3 linked regions of the Elephas maximus indicus genome follow. The protein of the gene in region 2 interacts with the protein of the main gene of each other region in a pairwise test. Links are inferred from orthologs where the notes say so. Each region holds a gene or a part of one and is shown on either strand. Other genes may lie near its edges.

Region 1 (7,125 bases), on a different chromosome or scaffold from region 2:
GAACAGACGAACCCTCCCTGCAGGTCATCCTGCTGATCCCGCCTCAGGTGGGGGCCCCTAGCCCATTCAGAAACTTCTGAGTGAGGAGTTCTGGGGCATGATTCCCCAGGCTAAAGCCAACTATCTGTGAATGGTGCTCGGTGGCTAGGAAGGGGGTGCTGGATCCTGAGGGTCCCCAGGCCTGGGACTGTTCCTTTTTGGGGAAGAGAGGCCTGGCGGGGAGGGGGAAGGGAGGGTAGGATGGCTGACTCCAATCTCAGAGCTGCTACTGGGCCAAAAAGCAGGAAGGTGAAGCCTGGCTCAGGGCTGTAGGGAACAAGCAAGCGAGCTCCCTGTCACTGAGGTCTGCAAACAGAAGCTGCCAAGAGAGGTCCTGCCAACAAGGCTGTGATTTGGTGGTTACAGGGTCTCAGCCGGCCAGGGACCCCCTGCCACCTGGAAGCCATGGAGGTGGCATAACCGAAATCCCAGACTCTGGGCATCCCGGTGGGATCCTGCCTGTTTCTAGACTCTGGGCAGGAGGGGTGAGGCAGACACACCCACCCGAAACTGCCTTTGGGGAAGTGCTGGCAGCTTCCTCTTCCTGGAGCCTGTGGGTTATGGGGCCAGCCCACTGAAGGGGTCTTCATTCCTCACCCTGCTTAGGGATGTGCACAGTAGGAACTCAGGACAAGCTGGACCTGCCCTGTGGCCTGTGGCGAGCCCCCTGGCTGTCCTAGCTGTCCCAGATAGCTAGTAGCAGCTGTTGCTTCTCCAGTCCTGCTGGGGTGCTGCCCTCAGCTCTGCTGGATGTCCTATCACTGTCCTTTATGGTCTAGTTTAGGTGGTGCTGGGCCCGTGAGAGCAGGGACGAGGCATACCTCTTCTGGTGACCATGAGACCCTAGCCAGGCAGCAATATCCCCTGCCCCCAAAACAGACTTTCTTGGAAGGAGCCCTGGGTTCTGAGGTGTGAAGGAACCAGCATGCTGGCAATGTCCCTCGCTGGTGATCGTGGATAGTTCCTGGTCCCTCTGGGCATCACTTGACTCAGCTGCAAAGCAAGGAGTTTCTCCAGCTCTGACCCTTGATTTTCTTGCTGACCCTTCCCCAAACCCACCCTCTCAGTTCCACCTGCTTACCTTTGCATGTACTGTTCCCTGTTCCTGGAATGCCCTTCCTCATTGCTCTTCTCCCTCTGTTGTTGTCGTCATGTGTCATTGAGTCCGTTCCAACTCATAATGACCCTATAGGACAGAGCAGAACTTCCCCATAGGGTTTCCTTGGCTGAAATCTTCATGGGAACAGAACACCAGGTCTCTTACCCTTATTTTCTCTCTTAGTCCTAACCTCAGCCATCCAGCGGGTTAGGCCCATTTTATGGGTGAGAAAACTGAGGCACAGGGAGTTTCTGATACTTGTCCAGAGTCATGCATCTGGCAAGTTTGCAGACTGATCCCTAGAGTTCTTGCTGCCAACAGCCACTCTACCATCTCTTGTGTAGTCCAGAGCAGTGTGTATGGGCTTTATCCTCAGGGCACTGGGGAGCCATGGAAGATTTGTGAGCAAGGGAGTGATGTAATTTGTTTCAGCAGGATCCTCTTTGCTGCCATGTGGTGGATAGATTGTAAACCAAAAAAACCAAACCCAGTGCTGTCGAGTCGATCCCGGCTCATAGCGACCCTATAGGACAGAGTAGAACTGCCCCACAGAGTTTCCAAGGAGCACCTAGAGGATTCAAACTGCCGACCCTTTGGTTAGCAGCCGTAGCACTTAACCACTACACTACCAGGGTTTCCAGATAGATTGTAGGGGAAACAAAAGAGCCAGGGAGGAGGCCGGAGGAGGCCTATAATGGGGGACAGTGGGGACAGAGAACGGGGACAAACTTGAGGGTGAATTGAGGAGAGGAAGAGGCTGACAGGATGTAAGGGTGGGGAGAGGGGTTCGTGGCTCTGGCTGGTGGGAGGGGTCATGAAGGGGTATAGGGCCCAGGAGCAGGGCCCAGTTGGGGGGTGGGACGTACCCAGTACTGGACAACATGGGTTTGAGGTGTCCAAGGTGTCTGGGGGAGGCTTCTGAACAATGGTGGACATGGACTGGCAGTCAGGTGAAAGGTCAGTCTAGAGATGTCCGGGTGGGGTTCTGAGTCCCTGGAGTGAGAGGTGTGTGACTGGAGTGCTAAGCAGAGGTGTAGCCAAAGCCCTGGGGACCTCATGGAGGTGGAAAGGTGCACCCATTGGGGTGAGGGGGTGTTGCTGGACTCCCTGGGATGAGCACATGGCTGGAAGGGGGTGGCTGGCTGGTGCCAAGGTGCTGGGAGATCCAGGGACCAGCATGGCCACAAGACCAGGACATTCCCCTCAGTGGCCCCACCCTGCCCCGCCGTTTCCGTTGATTGGGGTCTGTGTCTCTCCCACCTCCGGAGAGCTGGGCCTCCAAGAGGCTGACAGGTTCTCCCTGTTGCCCGGCAACTGTGAGAGCTGTTGGCTGTTGCTAGGAGCAGGCTGGGGAGGCCTGAGGAGAGAGGATCGGCTCTCAGGCATGGGGCGGGGCTAGCAGGGAAGGGGCCCGCCTTGGAGCTGGGTTTGTGGTCTGTGTGTAGACAGGCTGTGTTCTTGGCTGTCTGTACCCATCTTTATAGTGTGTTCCGTGGACTCAAGGCACGTTGGAGGCTGGGCCTGGGTGTGAATGTATAGGGCATACTTTGGGCTGGGTCTGTGTCCAGGTTTACATTAGAACATATCCCTGGGTGGGCCATGTTTGTTGCTTGCCTGGGGCAGGGCCTGCTTGAGCTTTGACTCTTGGCAGGAGGGAGTTGTTGGGGAACCACTGGAGGGCCTACAGTCCAATGCCTCCTGAAACAAAGGAGCCGTTCAAATAGTGATGCACAGGCACTCGGGGGTAGGGGACAGCCTGAGGACTGGGAGCTGGAACAAGGAATGTGCTAGGGTGGGGAGGAGGGGGTTGGTGATCAGTAGGGGTTTGGGGTGGCCAGCTCCCCCATGTGACTTTATGGACGTTCCCTCTCTCAGAACCCAGGCATCCCAGGCTTATGGCACTGAGGCCACACAGGACACCTTCCTGGGTAACCCTGGCAGACCCTTCAAATGACCAATCCAGGTCAGGGCTGTGGGCTCCTCCTGAGCAGAATCAGAAAGGCAGAAATGTTCAGCTAGAAACATTGTTGTTCCCTCCCACCTTTGCCCAGAGTGGATGCGGACAGGCCATGCGGCTGCCACCACCACCCAGTGGGGACAGGCCATGGGAGGATAGGCCTTGGGGTTGTGGCCATGGTCAGAGGTGGACAGACTATGGAAAGGATAGGCCATAAGATCGTGGCCACGTAGGTTTCCAGAAGTACTATGGCAGCTGTCTCTCTCCCTTGAGTCCTGGTTGCCATGTCCAAGGCTGGAGTCCAGAATGGCTGCCTGCAGGAGGACACCTCCCGGCAGATCAAAGAAGGATGGATAAGCTTTGGGTGAATAGAGGAAGGCACCTTTGCTGAGGGAGACAGCCTGGACAAAGGTGTAAAGGTAATTGACTTTATTTTCTTTCCTTTTTTTTTTTTTCCTGCAACTCAAGAAAGAGGCAAACCTGCCTTAAGATTGAGAAAACCGTAGTTCAGGGAGGCTCCAGGGTTCCTTAGATCCTAAAGAAGTTTATTGGATTCAATAACTTTAGCAAGTGACGAAGTCACGCCTCCTCCACTCCACTCACCCAACTCGCAAAAGCCCGGAGGGCGGGTTCCTGCCCAGCCCGCGAGATGCACCGGATTCCCACCCTCGGGCTACTAGATCCGCCCGCCCCGCCTTCGGGCCTCAGAGCTCCTGGCGCTCGGTTCCGAACCCATCCGGGGCCTCGCCCCGCCGGCAGCCCGCCGGGAGCCCAGTCGTGGACTGGGCTCTACCTTTAGTGCTGTTCTTCGGCGCGGCTCCGCCTCCAGCCCAGGCCTGAGCCTGGGCTGCGCCTAGCTTCGCCCTTCCCTCTGCCCTCGAGCCAATCACTGGCCCCAGGTCTCCTCTGGCCCCGCCTCCGGACCCGCCCCGGCCCAGTCCCGGGCCCGTCTCGTCCCGGCCCCACCCCCGGCCCGCCCCGCCGTCGGTGCGCCGCGGCCGAGAAGGCGCAGCCCGCAGACGCTCGGAACTGCCGACCCGAGAGCTGCCCGCAGAGGGCCGGCGGCGGGAGCGGAGTGGGTCGGGCGGGGCCGAGCCGGGCCGGGGGCCGTGTGGGGGCCGGACGGCGGCCAGGCCGGGCGGACAGCGGGATGGGCTGCACCGTGAGCGCCGAGGACAAGGCGGCGGCCGAGCGCTCCAAGATGATCGACAAGAATCTGCGGGAAGACGGCGAGAAGGCGGCGCGGGAGGTGAAGTTGCTGCTGCTGGGTGAGGCCGCGCCCCACGTTGGAACCCCCGATTCCCACTCAGTTCCCCAGACAAGGACTTCAAACTCCCAGACAAGGGCTTCGAGCCCCTCGGCCCGGCCTGAAACCCTAGCCCGGACTCCCAAATAAGGGTCTGAAACTCTGGGTCTGCCTAGACCTCTGAGGGTAGCCCAGACTCTATATCAGACCCTCCAACTAATCCTAGACCCCCAAATCCCAAACCCAGGCACTAGTCGGATAACATCAGCTGTCCAGAACCCTTCTTGACCATTCACTCTTGCTGACCAACCTCTCATACCCCCAGAGCCTCGGCCTTGTCGTTTCATCCTTCCAGAACCCCACCCAGCCCTACCCTCAAGCTTTACCTGTTTTCCCCACCTGCTCCCCCATATTTCTATTGAGCATGAGCATCCCCAGACCTTCCCAGGCGCCCATCCACTCCTTTCCGATCTGTGTCCCATTTCTACTCTAGACTCTATATCCTCCACCTGTACCCTCCAACCCCAAGGGACCTCTCAAGTGAGAGCCCGTAACTGCTCATGGGCCCTCTTCAGCCAGAACTCCCAAATGTGCAGAGGCCCCTGGTCTCCGACCCTCAAGTCCCCTTTTGCAGGCATCACTACTGCAGTGCTCTGCTTCCCCTCCCCTAAATCCCCTCCCACTCAGTGGCCTTCCCCAGGTTCCTCCACCTCCCCTGCACCAGGTAGGCTGGGCTGAAAGGAGGGAGCCCAGGGGCTAGGGACCACCCAGGCTGGGTTAGGCAAACCCCCAAGGAACTGGAGCAAGGCCCCCAAGGGCCAGGCTCAGACAGGGGCCAGTCCTCAAGCCTCCCGGAAGGTTCCGCTTGCTATATGTTTTCAAGTTTCTAAGCCTCATCCCGGCCGGCGAGGGGGGAGGCCAGGGAGGGATGCCTGGGTGTCTGGGGAATGGGGGGGGGGTGTGCGTAGTAAGGATTGAGACCGCCTCCAAGGCCAGGGAAGATGGTGGCTGCTCGAGGAGTGGGGGGAAGTGGAAGTGGTGAGACAGCCGACATATTGCTGCCCCTGCGGGCAGGCCAAGGAAATCTGCTGACGATGATGGGCTTCCCAAAGCTGCACTTCAGGGCCGAAGGGCTGGGACTCAGCCTCTGGGAGAGAGTGACCCTGTTGGATCTTGGGGCCCTGTAAGGGGAGTGTAGTGGACCAGCTGAATGAGGAGCTGGGGGCTGCTGAGGGTAGGCCAGGATGTCTCTGATCATCTGAACCAGCCTTTTGCCGAGATGTGGGCCCAGTGTGCATCCCTGTCTAACCTGCCACGGGGGCAGGTGTGGGGCCCAGCGGTTTCGTGCTTTCAGGGTAGGGGGTTAAGGAGGCCCCTGCAGTGGCGTTGGAGGCTGGACAGTGTGTGTGTGGCGGGGGTGTGGCCCCTTAGCCCCAGTCGCCTTGGGGTCCCCAGGCTATGAAAACCTGGGATTTTCAGGCAGTGCTTGTGGCTGAGAGACAGTGTGTCTGTCCATCATAGGCCCATCTGTTGACTGTCCCTGAGGGCCCAGCCTCGGGGGCACGGCCCCGAGGTTTCAAAATGGCATCCGCTCCGTTGCCGCCGCGGGGAGGAAGAGAAGGGGCGGGAAGGGGCGGCGGCCCAGCCTCCTGGGCTGCTTTGCGTTGGGCGCTTGCCTCTTCCTGTCTCTGCTGCTGCGAGTGCGGCCGCAGTGAGTGGGTGTCGACGCAGTGAAATGCCCGTCTCTTCTGCCTGCCGGGCCTGGGGAGGATGCTTCCGGTACTGCTGCCTCCCAGTGCCCAGACCAGAGCCTCTAGCCAGCTTCTTCCTGGGTTGATTGTGGTCATTATGGTGGCTGAGAAGACTGCTGGGCTGGGTCATGGTGCGGTGGGGGGCGAAGAGGGGGAGCAGAGTACAGGGCTCCTTGCCTGTTCTGTCCTGACCCCGGAAGGGCCCCCCATCCTGCCGACCTTGTCCCTTGAAGCCCAGCTGTGCTTTTGGGGCAGGCCAGGTGGGACCCAGCAACACCTCCCACATTGGGATGTTAGCAGTCAGGGGTACAGGGGCCAGCTTAGCACTTTTTAGCCTGGGGAATCCAACCCAGCATCCTGCACCTTAGGCCTTTGCTTCCTCTGTGAAATGGGCTTTCTGGGCTTGAGCCAGAGGAGTGCCATAGAAGTGCCTGGGCCCAGGTCAGGGAAAATAGGGCCTCATGAAGGTTCTTGTTGAGGGTGTGAAGTGGGAGCTAGAAGGACCCTGCAGAGGGTGCTCTGTAAGGGTCTGGGAGACCAAGCTCTACCTGAAATTGAGGACCTGATCTGCCACGACTGCCTGGGGAGGAGTCACCACTGAGCCTTCCCTATCCAGGTACAAGATGGTAATGGGTGCCCAGTTGTGGCAAGTTCAGACTACTGGGCACCTGTCCCACATAGCGGAAGAGACTGTCCAGGCAACGGGACTCAGGCTGGGCATTTGCCAGCCTTCCCTCCCAGCCAGAGCCCGCCTGCTGCCCCACCCACATACTGGCTCTATCCTGTCCTGGGTAGCCCTGCCAGCAGGCATATACAGTCACTGTCACTGGGGCAGAGGCAGATGTGGTACACACTGGCAAGAGGATTTTCCCTGACAGCTTGGTCGGGGGAGCAGAGGAGTTGATACCAGCCCTATTCCAGAGATTCTCCCACCCCCCACCCAGTTCAACTTGCCTGACCAGCAAGGTCCAGATGCAATTTGGGGTCTTGAGCTAGACAATTGAGGGAAAGAAAACAAAAGCTAGCAGCCTTG
Region 2 (7,735 bases):
CCTGCCGGGTGGCCAAGTAACAAAGGCAGACACAGGCCCCAGATAAGCAGCAAGTCACAAGCGCTCACCAAGACCTCTCAGACCAGCGTTGTTCCAGCACTTGAGGTGCCCCTTTGTCTCCCTGTCAGGGAGGGGCTCCAGGTCTGGGTAGGGGGCTATGGGAAGGGGGCAAAGACATTCCTGTGGGGCCTGGAGGAGGCTTCTGTCCACGGAAGGCGCTAAGAGAGGGCCAGGTCAGTGTGTCAGGGACTGAGGGGTCAGGTGAGCACCGGGGGGCTGGGGTCCCTGTCCAAACCTCATCTCCACCATCACCAGCTGCGTGGCTTTGAACAGGTCACTGCCTCGGTTTCTCCTGTGGTACATGGGAAGGGTCTTCCTCACAAGTGGTCTTCTGTAAAGGAGACCAAATGAGGAGAGCTGTCAGGGTACATACAGCAGGGCCTGTGAGCATCCATGTGAGCATCCGTCTGCCTCTGGAGTACTCAACAGAGCGGGGAAGCAGAGGGAGGGGAGAGTCGAGGGAAAAGGCCGACAGGCCCCAGGGGCCAGAGGAGAACAGTGGCAGTGGCTGGAAGTCAGGGGACGTGCTGACCCCACTCCTGCCAGCTGCCCCCTGCACTTCTCTTGAGATGGGCGGCACTTTGGCCATCGCAGCCAGGTTGTCTGGCTTTGACCAGGTGCCTGGTCCTCATCTGTAAAGATGCGGTAATAGCACATACTTCTCAGGACTAATGCCTGGGCTCAGTAAGAGGCAGCCATCCCTGGACAGGTGTTCGGCCTCTGGCCCTGCTCATCATGCTGCCTCCAACAAGTAATCGGCCAAGCTGGAGAGCGAGGACTGTCCTGTGGGCCCAGCTCCCACTCTGACCTGGGCCTGCCCTGGCCCCTGGCCTCACTGCTTTTCCAACAGAACCACAGTGCAACCCCCCCACCCTCAACCTTCGCACTACCCTTGCTCACCAAAGATTCCTGACACCAATTGGGTACCACCCTGCCCTCCCTCCTCTACCTGTTTCTCTCCTTAGCGCACCCTCCACCCAACCCCTTACAGGTTGGCCTCACTCAGGGCCCACAGCAGACACCCAACACCTGCCAAGTGAACTATCCCCACTTCTCTGGTGCTTGGAAGAGCCCTGCCCCACTGTGCACATGGGCTGTGCAGTGGGTGGGCATTTGTGTGGGGAGCCCTGCCTCCAGCCAGGCTAGGCCTTACAGGCACTGGGGGAACAGCAGGCTTGGGGGGCCACAGACACAAGATGTCTGCAGAGTGGTCTGGGCCACCCTGACACTGGCCCAGAACATTCTGTGATAAGGAACTTCACCCACAGCTGTGCTGTGTCAAAAAGGGCCAAGAAAGCCAGCCACTGAAAGGAAAGGGCATCTGTGGCAAAGGGGACCCAGAGGGCTCTGGACTTTAGGAGGGCTCAGAAGGGAGTTGGTCACGCCCTGGAAACGAGCCCTTTGGTGGACTCCACGCAAGAGCCCACACCCACCAGCGCCGCCAGCCCCGCAGCACGGAACCCCCACCCCCACCCCCAGCATGGTGACAGCACGTCTCACTTAACCCCACTCTACAGATGAGGCATCAGATTGGAGAGGGCGGGCGGGCCTGGCGTGACCACGGGTCAGCCCTTTCCAGGGACTTCTTCCTTACCCAAGCGGGGCAAGCGGCACACGGGACCCCGGGGCCTGGGGTGCTCTCGCTGGCGCCCCCGCACTGGCCAGGAGCCTCGTGGACTCCCTGCAAGAACGGCCCAGCTGTGAAGAGTAGGGGGAGAGGTCGCCGCGCACCCCAGGCCGCCACAAAGCCAGCACCCCACTTTCCGCGCAATGCCGGGCATGTGGGCGCGAAGAGGCCTGCGGGGGAGCCGGCCGAGCGCCCCGGCGGGCGGGCTGGCGGGCGGGCGGGGCAGGGCGGGCGCCTCCAGCGCGAGGAAGTCCAGGCCCCGCGCTTTGGGGAAGTGCGGCCGAGGGCCTGCGCATGCGCCTCGCGCCCCCTCCCCGAGCTCCTGCCGGACCTCGCGGCGCGCGGGGTCGGGCGGCGGCGGCGCGGCGGCTCGGGAGCGCGGCCGGTGAGTGCACGCGCCCGCGCGGCCCCGGGACGCGGCTCCCCTCCCGGCCTGGGGCTGTTGGGAGGGAGCCTGGGAGCCGGCGCCCCGGGCCGCACTCAGACTTTCAGCCCCAGGCCCACGTGGACCCTGGGCCGCTGCAGGACCGGACCACCCCCCCGTGCGGGGGAGGGGTGCTGCACAGTTTCCCCTTTTTCTGCAGCTCTAAGCCCGGGGGAGCGATTGCTCAAAGGTGGGGGCCGGAAGGACCCAGGTTTCCGCGTCTCCCGCCCGCTTCGTCCTGGTGGGGAGGGGCCGGGGCGGGACGCCCTCCGCCCCCGCCCCAGTTAGATTTGGCAGCTGCTCGGCCCTGCAAGCCGGCGGGGAGGCGCTGCGCCCCCGGCCCAGCCGATCAGGGCTCCTTTGCTGGCCCCTCCAGACGCCCCAGGAGTACCTCCTGCCGTCTGACTCAAGTCCCCGCTGCAGTGCACGCCCCTTCGGAGACCAGGGTGGGGCCAGAACGAACCTGGCCCCTCCCGCCCCCACCCCATCTTTGGGTCTCTGGTGAGTGGGGTGCTGGGCCAGGGAGAGTTCCTTAAGGTGGGGTGGAGGCGTCAGAAGACAGGGTCCCAGACTTTGAGGGAGGGGGTTGCCCCCGCCATTGCAGGTCGGTCTCGGGGCCGGGATCACCAAGGCTGGGGTGGCCCGGCCTTCCTTGGAGGGGGCCAGGCCAGGGGCTCCCCCCACCAGGCTAGCGGAAGAGGCAGGTAGGAGAGGGTACTGGGTAGGATCAGAGACAGTGGGCCCCTCTGTCGCCCCCCCCCCCAAAGGTTATGGCATTTCTTTCTGGGATTGTCACATTTTCTTATTCTTTTTTTGGAATGGGCGGCTCTGGACGTTCCTTTTCCTTCTGTGGTGCGGAGCAGCAGCCACTCCCAGGGGAAACTCTGTCCCCAGAGGCTGGACTGGCCTCCTATCCAGCTTCTCCATCCCAGACTCGGGGGGCCAAAGTCTGGGGGCTAGGGAAAGGGAGGCGCCCCCAGAACATCAGCATGAGAGGCAGGAGGACCCTAGTTCAGACTCCCTACCCTCCCAGGAGGCAGCCCAGGGCACCCATGGGTGCCCCAGGGTATGGCATGGCCTCAGCGGCCTAGGGAGGGCACGGGGAGCCAAGTGTAGGGACCATGCCAAGGGCCTGGGGAAGAAGGGACTTGGCCCCCACCATGGGGCTCTGCACCCTAAACAGGTCCCCTTCCTCCAATTCAGAGCAGGTTGGAGCTAAGGGAGTGGGGAGGGGCAGGGCCAGCTCCACTCACAGTAGGGGTGGTGTGGAAGAGGAAGTCATCACCCTGTCTGGGGGTACAGCTCCCGGATCTCAGGAGGAGCCACAGCCCTTCCTCTCCCTAGAAACCTGACCCCAGGGAAAGTGCATTGTTTCCCCATCTGTGGGGCCTGTGGGCCTCAGTTTGAGGGCCCCCCACAGGGTCTGTGAAGCCAGGCAGATCGTAAGGGCCTAGGCTCCAGAGAACCCTGTGCCCACCCTCTCCCTCAAAGCCTGTCAGAGCCAGGCCTCCACATGCCCAGGCCAGGGAGCAGTATCGTCGTGGCCCCTGAGAGCTGCCACACGAGGCCCCCATAACCAGCCAGGGGCCCCAGGAGTAGGCCTGCCTAGAGCGTTCACCTTCACTCCTTCCCTGGAGCCCTGAGAGCCAACCCGGACAGACTGAAACTGGGATTAAAACACCATGAGCAGGGGTAGGGTGGGGGTATACTGAATGAGAAAAGAGAGTGGAACAGGGTCAAGTGGCAGGTGCAGTGTGTGTGGGCAAGGGGCATTCAAAATCACCTGCAGGGTTCAGATTGGCCAGGCTGCACTGAGTAAGTCCAATGGGTCTCTGGTGCCCCCACCCCTGCCTCCACCCCCAGGCTTGGCGAAACCATCTGCGTTGGCACCCCTGCCCAAGGTGCAGTGCAAACAGAGGCAGGATGGCCAGCACAGGGACTCCAGGCCCCAGCCCAGGAACAGGTGCCCCCTCCCCCAGCCTGGCACCCCCAGCATGGCACGCCCTGCAGTGGGGCGCTTGGCTGCAGTGGTTTCCGCTGCCTAGAGGCAGCGGTCGGGCGGGGGTGCCACGGAGACACTGGGTGCAGGCTAAGAAGGCAGCACTGTCAAGGCATGGGTTTCTGGGAGAAGGTGGGTGCCTGCAGGCAGGGACGGCACCAAAGACTGAAGTGGGAAGTGGGGCACTGGGCCAGGGCAAGTTTCTCTGAGACACCCCCCCCGCCCCACTCCCCACACCCTCAGAAAGTCCTTCCCCAAGTCCCACTCAAATTCTCCATGCTGCAGGCCCAGCCTGCTACTCTGTTGAGTCCTGGTGAATTGTCAGAATCCTGAGACTGACAGGCAGATTCAAGGCTCTTGGTTGTGAGCAACCGTACCCAGCGCCCACAGTCTGGACAGAAAACCCAGAATGAAGGGAGCTGGCAGGGGGTAGGGGGGCTCTGAATGTCTGACTGCCACCCCCATGACTCTAAGGGGCCCCCAGCCCCCTTGGGGAGGGGCAGAGAGCTGGAAACCAAGAAAGAGGAACCCAGGCTTCCGGCTTCCCAGGGACCGAGCTGATGGGGGTGTCCCGGAACCTTCCGTGGGGGCCTCTTCTGGGGCCCAGACTAGGATTGAGGGGCCAGAAGCTGCTACAGCCCCCTCCCCAACTGACCTGGGCCTGCAGTCCTGGTGTAGGCTTGGGGGTGGGGGGAGGAGAGCCCAGATGGGAGCCAGGGATGAAGGTTGGGGGCAGAGGGCTTGGGGAGGAAAGAGGGAGACCCTCTCAGGACCCCCAGGGGCTGGCAGGGACTGGGGTCTCAGGTTCTCAGAGCCTCGGCCTCTCTCCCCAGACCCCCGGCCGTGGTGAGGGTTCCGGAGCAGGCACCACAGAGCCTGGGGACCTTCTTGGCCCACCCATGCCCACCCCGCATGAGGCTGAGAAACAGGTGCGCCCCTGCTCCCCTGGGGAAGATGGGGGGGCAAGATAGGGTGGGGGCAACAGGGAGTTTGGGAGACCCCTGAACACCTGGGAGGCAGGAAGGGTCATGTCCCAGGAGGTGTAGCCCCTCGGGCAGGCAGTGGGGGAGGAGCCGGGCTGGTGTGTTCTGGGCTGAGCCTCTGTCTCTACAGCACACAGGGCCAGAGGAGGCGGACCAGCCGCCCTCCATGTCCAGGCATGACGCGGCCCCTCCTGCGGCCGTCCCGGCTGCCCCCAGCCGCAATCCCTGCTGCTTGTGCTGGTGCTGCTGCTGCAGCTGCTCCTGGTAGGTGGGCCTGGGGTGCAGGGGGGACCTGGGGGAGCATGGGAGCCTGGGGGTGCGAAGGGGGCTGGGGGGTGTGTTGGGGGCCAGAGGCTCCTGAGGTACAGGCTGCAGGCAGGACAGCCCTGCCACCTTGCCAGCCCTGCCCTGCCCAGGCCCCTCCAGGAGACTCCAGTGAGCCAAGGGTGTACCCGTGGGCAGGTACCAGGCCCACACCTGTGTGCACCTGTGCACCTGCTTGTCCACGTGCTTGATACATGTTTATCAACGCTGCTCTGGCCTAGGGACCTAGAAGAGCAGAAACAGAAAACAGACTCTGCAGGTTGTACCAAGGGCTGCGGAGGGGACGCTGGGGGGCTCTGAGGAAGGAACAGATGAGCCAAGCCTGGAAGATGGGGAAGAGCACCCAGAGGGGGGGCACAGGTGCTGGGACAGGAGGGCATGGGGTTTTGCAGAGCTGGAGGCCGCCACCCCTCGTACCCTGACCCTATTCAGGCTTCAGGTTTGGCTGTGGAGTGGAGGGTGGGCCGTAGGGACCCAAAGTGAAATCAGGCGACCAGTGAGAAACCAGGGGCAGAGCCCAGGAAAGAGACCATGAGGGTAGCATTGGGAGCCGAGGTAATTAGGACTTGGTGGTGTCTCTGGCTGGGGCGGGGTATGGGAGGGATGGAGAGGACTCGGGTTGTGGGCCAGGTTGGAGGCCAGTATCTCTGGAGGCAGTGATGCCACTGCTGAGGAGGAAGAGGTGTGGGGCCGGGGCACTGAGCTTGGTCTGGCACCATCAAGTGGGGAGAAGACTGGGAGAGAGAAGCCATACCTGGGGGTCAGGGTCAGATAGTGAGGCCTGATAGGTGGGCACAGGGCAGGCTTTCAGCAGGGCCGGTTGGGCCTGCAGGGTGGACCTGCCAGGGGCCCCTGGGATGAAAGGCTGGAAAGCGGGTAGGGTCGGGGGCTTGGCCAGGGAGGTAGGAGGAGCTCCAGACAGATCATGCAGGGTCCCAGCAGGAAGATAGTGGGGGTCACCAGCCAAACATCGCCGAAGGAGACAGAGGCCGTGGCCTTGGCAGGGTCAGCAACTGGACAAGCAGATTCAGTGGAGGGAGGGGGAAAGGAGCAGTGGGCAGGAGAGTGGACCCCCTTCCCAGGAAGGGTGTGAAGGGAGCAAAGACTCCAGGGGTTGCCCTTCCGTGCGCCAGTTACCTGTGCACCAAGCTCTGTGCCTGTTCACACGCCTGCGTCTCCCGTGCACCAAGCCCTGTGCCTGCTCACACGCCTGCGTCTGCTGTGCACCGAGCCCTGTGCCTGCTCACACGCCTGCATCTCCTGTGCACTGAGCCCTGTGTCTGCTCACCTGCCTGTGTCTACCCGTATGCATAGCTCTGTGATGTGTCCACAAGCCAGTATCCATGTGCTGAGGCCCATGTGTGCACTTATGTGATGTCCCTGTGAACCCAGGCAAGTTGCTGCCATTCTCTAATGTTAGGAATGAAGAGCGGCGGCGAGCCTGGCAGGCTTCTCGGGAGACCAAGCTGCAGCCCCTCCCCAGCTGCGAAGCATGGTGAGTCTCAGCCAGCCTGTGTGCACGCATGAGGTGGGCGCGCGTGTGTGGGGTGGGCGTGGGCACGTGTGCGTGCATGAGTCTGCGCATCAGGCGCAGGCAGGGTTGGGCCAGGTGGCTTGTCTGACCCTGACCGAGGCACTTGCTGGCAGCGCCGCGCCAAGCCCTGAAGAGGTGCGCAGCTGGGCTCAGTCCTTCGACAAGCTGATGCGCAGCCCCGCTGGGCGCAACGTGTTCCGCGAGTTCCTGCGCACGGAGTACAGCGAGGAGAACATGCTCTTCTGGCTGGCCTGCGAGGAGCTCAAGGCCGAGGCCAACCAGCACGTGGTGGACGAGAAAGCGCGGCTCATCTACGAGGACTACGTGTCCATCCTATCCCCCAAGGAGGTGCGCGTGGGGCAGCGCCGGGCGGGCAGGGCAGGGCGAGTGGGAATGCCGCCCACCGGCCCCTGACCCCTCCCCGCCCCGCCCGCAGGTGAGCCTGGACTCGCGCGTGCGGGAGGGAATCAACAAGAGGATGCAGGAGCCATCTGCGCACACGTTCGATGATGCACAGCTGCAGATCTACACGCTCATGCACCGGGACTCCTACCCTCGCTTTCTCAGCTCCCCAGTCTACCGCGCCCTGCTGCTCCACGGGCCCACCCCGTCCTCGTCGGAGGCCTGAGCCCGCCTCAGGCACCAGGACCCTAGGGCCCCATGTGGGCTTCCACTGCAAGGCAAGTCGAATTGGGGTCCGGGACCCCAGGAAGTCCCGGCTGGCCGCTGACTCCAGGCTCCGCCCCACGAGGCCAGGCAGAGGCTCCAGGTGCTCCAGGTCCAG
Region 3 (7,016 bases), on a different chromosome or scaffold from region 2:
CCCCCTGAAACTGAAAGCAGAATTTGGCAGCCTGTCTTAAGGTGCCTTCCATGAGCTCCCCAAATGTGCCAACAGGGCCCAGACCTTGGCTGAGCTGGCTCCCTTCTGCTTCTCCAAAGCCACTTTTCCTGGACCGGGATTCCCAGGAACCCCCAAAGTCTCTATGTGCAGGAAGTGTGGAGGGGATATGAGGAGCAGAGATAAATAGCACCCCTCCTATGCTGTACCAGGCTCACCTGTGTGAAACTTTAGGGTTTGCAAAGCCTTCCACATGTTCTGCGTGTAAATGGCGGCCAGCAATGTGGGGCAGGAGAGAAGCACCTTCCAGGTGGAGGAGGCCCTGGGTGTGAGGGAGCGTGAGGCATCAGAAGAATCCAGAAAAGACCAGTGTGGCTACAGCCAGGAAGCATGCAAGGAGGCCATGAGGCTGGATGGGTCAGGAACAGCCAGACTGGTGGGTGGCCCTTGGGTAGGATAGGGACATTGGCCTAAGAACCACTGGAGAGTTTTAAGGTTAGCATTTTAAATTTGAGAAAGAAGGCCCTCATTTTCATGAACGCAAAATAGAACGCATAAAGATCAATATCCTAGGCATTAGTGAGCTAAAATGGACTGGAATTAGCCATTTTGAATCAGAAAATCCTGTGGTCTACTATGCTGGGAATGACAAACTTAAGAGGAATGGAGTCACATTCATCAACAAAAAGAACATTTCAAGATCTATCCTGAAGTACAACTCTGTCAGTGATAGGATAATATCCATATGCCTACAAGGAACACCAGTTAGCACAACTACTATTCAAATTTACACACCAGTCACTAAGGCCAAAAATGAAGAAACTGAAGATTTTTACTAATTTCTGCAGTCTGAAATTGATCATGCAATCAAGATGCATTGGTAATTACTGGTGATTGGAATGCGAAAGTTGGAAACAAAGAAGCAGGATCAGTAGTTGGAAAATATGGCTTTGGTGATAGAAACGACACCGGAGATGGCATGACAAAATTTTGCAAGATGACTTCTTCATTGCAAATACCTTTTTTCAACAACATAAACGGTGACTATACACATGGACCTCAAAGGATGGAATACACAGGAATCAAATTAATATATTTGTGGAAAGAGACAATGGAAAAGCTCAATATCATCAATCAGGACAAGGCCGGGGCCGACTGCAGACAGACCATCAATTGCTCATATGCAAGTTCAAGTTGAAGCTGAAGAAAATTAAAACAAGTCCACGAGAGCCAAAATAAAACCTTGAGTATACTCCACCTGAATTTAAAGACCATCTCAAGAATAGATTTGATGCATTAAACACTAATGACCAAAGACCAGAAGAGTTGTGAGATGACATCAAGGACATCATACATGAAGAAAGCAAAAGGTCATTAAAAAGACAAAAAAGAAAAGACCAAAATGAATGTCAGAAGAGACTCTGAAACTTGCTCTTGAACATAGAGTAGCTAAAATGAACAGAAGAAAGGATGAAGAGCTGAACAGAAGATGTCAAAGAGCAGCTTGGGAAGACACTGTAAAGTATTATAATGAAATGTGCAAAGACTTAGAGTTAGAAAACCAAAAGGGAAGAACACACTTGGCATTTCTCAAGCTGAATGAACTAAAGAATAAATTCAAGCCACAAGCTGCAATATTGAAGGATATTATGGGCAAAATATTGAACGATGGAGGAAGCATCAAAAGAAGATGATATGAATACACAGAGTCACTGTGCCAAAAAGATGTAGTCGACGTTCAACCATTTCAGGAGGTAGCATGTGATCAAGAACCTGTGGTATTGAAGGAAGAAGTCCAAGCTGCACTGAAGACATTGAGGGGAAAACAAGGCTTCAGGAATTGACAAAATACCAATTGAGATGTTTCCACAAACAGATGCAACCCTGAAAGCTCTCACTCATCTATGCCAAGAAATTTGGAAAACAGCTACCTGGCCAACCAACTAGAGGAGATCCATATTTGTGCCCATTCCAAGTAAAGGTGATCCAACCAAATGTGGAATTATCAAACAATATCATTAATACCACATATGAGTAAAATTTTGCTGAAGGTAATGCAAAAGTGGTTGCAGCAGTACATAGGCAGGGAACTGCAGAAAATTCAAGCCGGATCCGGAAGAGGACATGGAACCAGGGATATCATTGCTGATGTCAGATGGATCCTGGCTGAAAGCAGAGACTACCAGAGAGATGTCTACCTGTGTTTTATTGACTATGCAAAGGCATTCAACTGTGTGGATCATAACAAATTATGGATAACATTAGGAAGAATGGGAATTCCAGAACACTTCATTGTGCTCAGGTGGAACCTGTACATAGACCAAGAGGCAGTCATTTGAACAGAAGGAGGAGATACTTCGCGGTTTAAAATCAGGGAAAGTGTGCATCAAGGGTTGTATCCTTTCACCATACTTATTCAATCTGTATGCTGACCAAATAATACGAGAAGCTGAACTATATGAAGAAGAACCCAGCATCAGGATTGGAGAAGACTCATTAACAACGTGCATTATGCAGATAACACAACCTTGCTTGCTGAAAGCAAAGAGGACTTGAAGCACTTACTGATGAAGATCAAAGACTACAACTTTCAGTAGGGATTACACCTCAACAAAAATCCTCACAAATGAACCAATAGCAACATCATGATAGACAGAGAAAATACTTAAGCTGTCAAGGATTTCCTTTTATTTGGATCCACCATCAACAGCCATGGAAGCAGCAGTCAAGAAAGCAAATGACATATTGCATTCAGCAAATCTACTGCAAGAGACCTCTTTCAAGTGCTGAAAAGCAAAGACGTCACTTTGAAAACTAAGGTGTGCCTGACCCAAGCCATGGTGTTTTCAATCACCTCACATGCACGCGAAAGCTGGGCAATGAACAAAGAAGACCAAAAAAGAATTGATGCCTTTTAATTACGGTGTTGGCAAGAGTGCTCCTTAGAAGCAAGGATGGCAAGACCTCGTCTCACATACTTTGGACTTCTTATCAGGAGGGACCAGTCCCTGGAGAAAGACATCATGCTTGGAAAAGTAGAGAGTCATCAAAAAAGAAGACCCTCAATGAGATGGATTGACACAGTGGCTGCAACAATGGGCTCAAACATAGCAATCATTATGGGGATGGGGCAGGACTGGCAGTGTTTCCTTCTGTTTTACACAGAATCACTATGAGTTGGATCCGACTGGTGGTCACCTAACAAAAATATGCTGGAAACCCAGGTTCAATTCCCAGCCAGTGCACCTCATGCGCAGGAACCAGTCATCTGTCCAAGGAGGCTTGTGTGCTGCTGTGATGCTGACTAGGTTTCAGCAAAGCCTCCAGACTACGACAGTAGGAAGAAAGGCCTGGCAAACAACTTCCAAAAACCAGCCAATGAAAACCCTCTGGATCACAAGGGTTTCACGCCGCAAAGGATCATAGGGATGATTGGGCGAGGGTAGCGGGTTGGGTTTGTTTTTTTTTTCAGTTGTGCATGGGGTCGCCATAAATCAAGGGCTGACCAGAAGGCTGACAACAGGATTGTCTTGACAGTCCAGGGAGGCAGGTGCCGCGAGCCCCACTTCGAAGACAAACTCGGGGAGGTCAGTCGGCGACCAGGTCACGGGGCTCGGGAGGGGCGACGCTGAGCTCAGACCCTGAGCGCCGCCAGCTCCCGGGTGGGCGCGCGGGCCTTCTGCGCGATCGTGGGCACGGACAGACAGAGCGTGCGGGACTGCGGTGCGCGCGGAGCCGCGGCCCCGCCCCTGCTCGCCGCCATTGGCCCACGGCAGCGTCGGTTAGCCGCCCGCGCCCAATGAGCCGCAAGCCGGCGGTCGTGGCGGGCGGCGGCGCCCGGCGCGTGGTGCCCGGCGGGCGCGCGGCACCCCGCCCGCGGTTGGCCTGGCAACGCAGTGCGCTCGCGGCTCCGCCTCCTCTGGCGGCGCGGGGCGGGGGACCCGCGGGGGAGCGGGCGGGGGAGCGGCCGGCCGTGCGTGAGCGCCGCCCGCGGTCCGGTCACGTCCCCGCGCGGCGCCGCCGCCCGCGTCGTGCGGAACGAGGGCGCCGGGCCCGCGCTCGCCGCCTCCCGGAGCAGCTCGGCAGGCTCGGTGCCCGGCCCGGAGGTGAGTGTGCGGCCGCGCGCGGTGAAGCTTGGCCGTGGGCGCGGCAGCCCCCGTCCCCGCCTGCCGCCCCCACCCCCAGCCCCCCGCGCGACCACTGTGCCCGGGTTAAGGCCTCGGGGGCGGCAGGTTGCGGGCGGGGGGCGGCGGGCCGTGCAGGTGCCAGTGACGTCGGCCCGGGAGGGTGGGCAGGGCGGCGGGGCTCCCTGGGCGCGAGGAGGGGCGCGGACGCGGGGCCTGTCGGAGACCGAGGCCTGGCTTGGGACGCGGACACAGTGTGGGGTCATAGCTCCTGCCGCGAGCAGGTTCCTGGGGGCATTTAGAGCAGAGCTGAGTATCGACCATCTGTCCCCGGCTTGGTGTTTTTCCCTTAAAAGGCGGCGGGGGTGCTCTGAGGGAGGGCGTGGGGGCTGGGGCTCTGTGTCCTGCGGGGGACCCAGAGGCCCTGCCATTAGGGCGGTGCCGAGCATTCTGGGGGGTGGCGGCAGGAAACCGCTAGGCCGGCACTAGGGCTTTTCTGACAAGAGAGGATGGGTGGGAGGGCAGTGTCAGCCCAGGGCTCCCGGGGTCTGGGTCTCAGATGGAGAAACCCACCTGGCAGTGAGGTCCGCCTGGCTTGGGGAGGCACCCGCTCTGCTGACTGGCTCCTCTGCCCCAGTGATTTCCCGGCCGGGGACCGGGCCCCACTACCCTGCACTCTTTCTGGAGGAAGCTCCTGGCAGAATTCGGTCAAACAAACATTTATTGAACCCTTGCTCCCTAGGACCAGGCACTGGGTGGACAGGGGGGAGTGGACTGTCCTGTCTCCCTAGGACTGACTCACCATGCCATAAGGGAGATGTGGCCCTGCTCACATAGCCCAGCCCAAGAGCAGCACTTGACCTGGGGAGGTGACCCCAGTTGGGGTCAGGTGGGCCTATGTGCAAGGAGACATTTTGAGCTGGTGCTTGAAGGGCATGGCATGGCTGGAGTAGGCTTTGCAGGCAGATGGGGGAAGGGACACAGAGAGGGTTCTCGGGTTTGGCAGGAGTGGGCATGCTTGAAGAAGCCTGAGGTATGGTGGGAAAGGTGGTGGGGTCATCCGGTTTGGACTGAAGGGAAGCTGGGGACACAGAGCTGCCCTCTCGCTTGTTAGCCTGGCTCCTCCAGTGGAGACCTCGGCCTCCTCATCTGCAGAAGAGAAGGAAGCTTCTGGCAGCTCTGTAACCAGGAGATGGGGTGGGCCTGGGGCAAAACTTTCAGGACCCCCTGGGGTTTGCCCCCCAGGAACCTGATCCTTTTTGGGCAATGTCCAACCACCTTCTTGGTAGCCATGGAACACCTGCCTTGTTTACCTGTTCAGCCAGTGACTATGTCTCCAGGGTCTCCGGGACATGAACATTCGAGAGCAGTCACCATGAAGGCCCAGGGTGTCCATCTGCGAGCTGAGGGGTGTGCAGGAGGCCTGGCTACACTCTGAGGAAAGAGGACCCCCAGGCACTTTCCAGGGAGGCTGAGGCCATGGCATTTGTTCTTTAAAGTCCTCCCTATGGGTTCTTCTGGCAGACGTTGATTTTCTGGGGCAGGAAGGGAATAAGGCTGGGACCACTTTCTTCCCTGAGCTGCTTGCTCAAGGGGCTGTGTTGGCTCCCTCTGAGGGGCTGTCTGACTCATCTCTGCAGCCCTGCCTCCACCCCACCCGCATAGATACACACTGGGCTCAAGGCCCAAGCCTGGGCTGCTGCAGCGAGAGGCAGGCCTGCCTGCCCTCGTGGGGCTTGTGGTCTGTGCCTAGCGCCGTGAAGCTGCTCAACTCCTGGATGTAACTTTTGCCTTGTCCAGACCCATTCTGGGGACCTGGCACGGGGCCCTAGGTTGGGCTACATGGGCGGGAATTCTCCCTCTGACCCAGCGCCCAGGCTTCTCTGGCCTGGAGCCCCAGGAGGAGGGCCTTGGTTGAGCTCTCAGGAGCTTCTAGGGCAATTCCAGGGGCTTCTGGGTAATGGGCGTGGGCCTGGGGAGGGCCATGGAGGACCTCCCCACCCCGGAGGGTGGTGTCATGGGGTGATGGGACGGCTGGCCTGGGACTCAGTAGGCCTGATCTCCCTGGCCTCGAGAATGCAGAAGTGGCCCTGTGAGCAGCCTATGCTCACCCCAGTAGACTTAGAATGCACACAGCTGACCGTGGCCAGGCTTGTGGAACTCATGGGGAGGGGAGTAGAATGCAGCTCCCCCAGCCTCCAGGAAGGAAACAGGGTGACAGAGCCCCTGGGTTGGCCTGCAAGAGATGTGCATGGCAGAAAGGATCACGAAGGGAATGGACATGGCATCGGGGTGACACCAAAGGCCAGCCTCAGGTAGGAGGGTCGGAGCCTCACAGATGGGAGGGGATCATGGGAGTACCCAGATGCTCACGCCCATGGGGTAGTGAGGCAAAGGGGGAGCTCCAGTCTAGTGTCACAAGACCTGGCCACAGGTCGGGTCTCCTCATGTGCTGGCCTTCACCCTCTCCACTCTGACAGAGGGTCTCCCATGTACCTGGCCCCCTCCCTGTCCATGCTGGCAGGACGGGTCTCCTCACATGCCCTGCCCCCTCCCCGTCCATGCTAACAGGAGGGGTCTCCCCACATGCCTGGCCCCCTGCACATCAACACCAGCAGGAAGGGTCTCCTTACTACATGCCAGGCTCCCTTCACATGTCCACACTGACAGGAGGGGTCTCCCTACGCACCAGGCTCCTTCCACATGTCTACACAAAAGGGGCGGTGCTTTATCTGCAGAGACAACCTCATGGAGGCTGTCCAACGAGTCCTGGAGCCTGTGGGAGGTCACATCAGCCCTCCTCGCGGAGCCTGCATAGTCCATTCACTCATTTGTTGAGCTAAAATTTAGCCATGCCCCTCACATTTTGGTGTC

The links.
Region 1: the proteins of RGS19 (region 2) and GNAI2 interact in a two-hybrid assay, tested with the Homo sapiens proteins (2 studies listed by BioGRID and IntAct). The link is inferred for Elephas maximus indicus from reciprocal best matches to the Homo sapiens genes RGS19 and GNAI2.
Region 3: the proteins of RGS19 (region 2) and GNAZ interact in a two-hybrid assay, tested with the Homo sapiens proteins (2 studies listed by BioGRID). The link is inferred for Elephas maximus indicus from reciprocal best matches to the Homo sapiens genes RGS19 and GNAZ.

The regions. Positions count from the first base shown.
Region 1 is NC_064838.1:54,584,638-54,591,762, forward strand, and holds the start of GNAI2 (guanine nucleotide-binding protein G(i) subunit alpha-2), read left to right. Parts: upstream 1-4,125; 5' UTR 4,126-4,245; coding exon 4,246-4,363; intron 4,364-7,125. UniProt on the Homo sapiens protein: Guanine nucleotide-binding proteins (G proteins) are involved as modulators or transducers in various transmembrane signaling systems.
Region 2 is NC_064843.1:4,063,856-4,071,590, forward strand, and holds the start of RGS19 (regulator of G-protein signaling 19), read left to right. Parts: upstream 1-4,338; 5' UTR 4,339-4,670; coding exon 4,671-4,784; intron 4,785-4,943; coding exon 4,944-5,039; intron 5,040-5,223; coding exon 5,224-5,357; intron 5,358-6,837; coding exon 6,838-6,912; intron 6,913-7,064; coding exon 7,065-7,299; intron 7,300-7,387; coding exon 7,388-7,579; 3' UTR 7,580-7,735. Other genes in the region: translation initiation factor IF-2-like, read right to left, coding at 235-391, 1,655-1,983. UniProt on the Homo sapiens protein: Inhibits signal transduction by increasing the GTPase activity of G protein alpha subunits thereby driving them into their inactive GDP-bound form. Binds to G-alpha subfamily 1 members, with the order G(i)a3 > G(i)a1 > G(o)a >> G(z)a/G(i)a2.
Region 3 is NC_064840.1:23,668,833-23,675,848, reverse strand, and holds the start of GNAZ (guanine nucleotide-binding protein G(z) subunit alpha), read left to right. Parts: upstream 1-4,016; 5' UTR 4,017-4,124; intron 4,125-7,016. UniProt on the Homo sapiens protein: Guanine nucleotide-binding proteins (G proteins) are involved as modulators or transducers in various transmembrane signaling systems.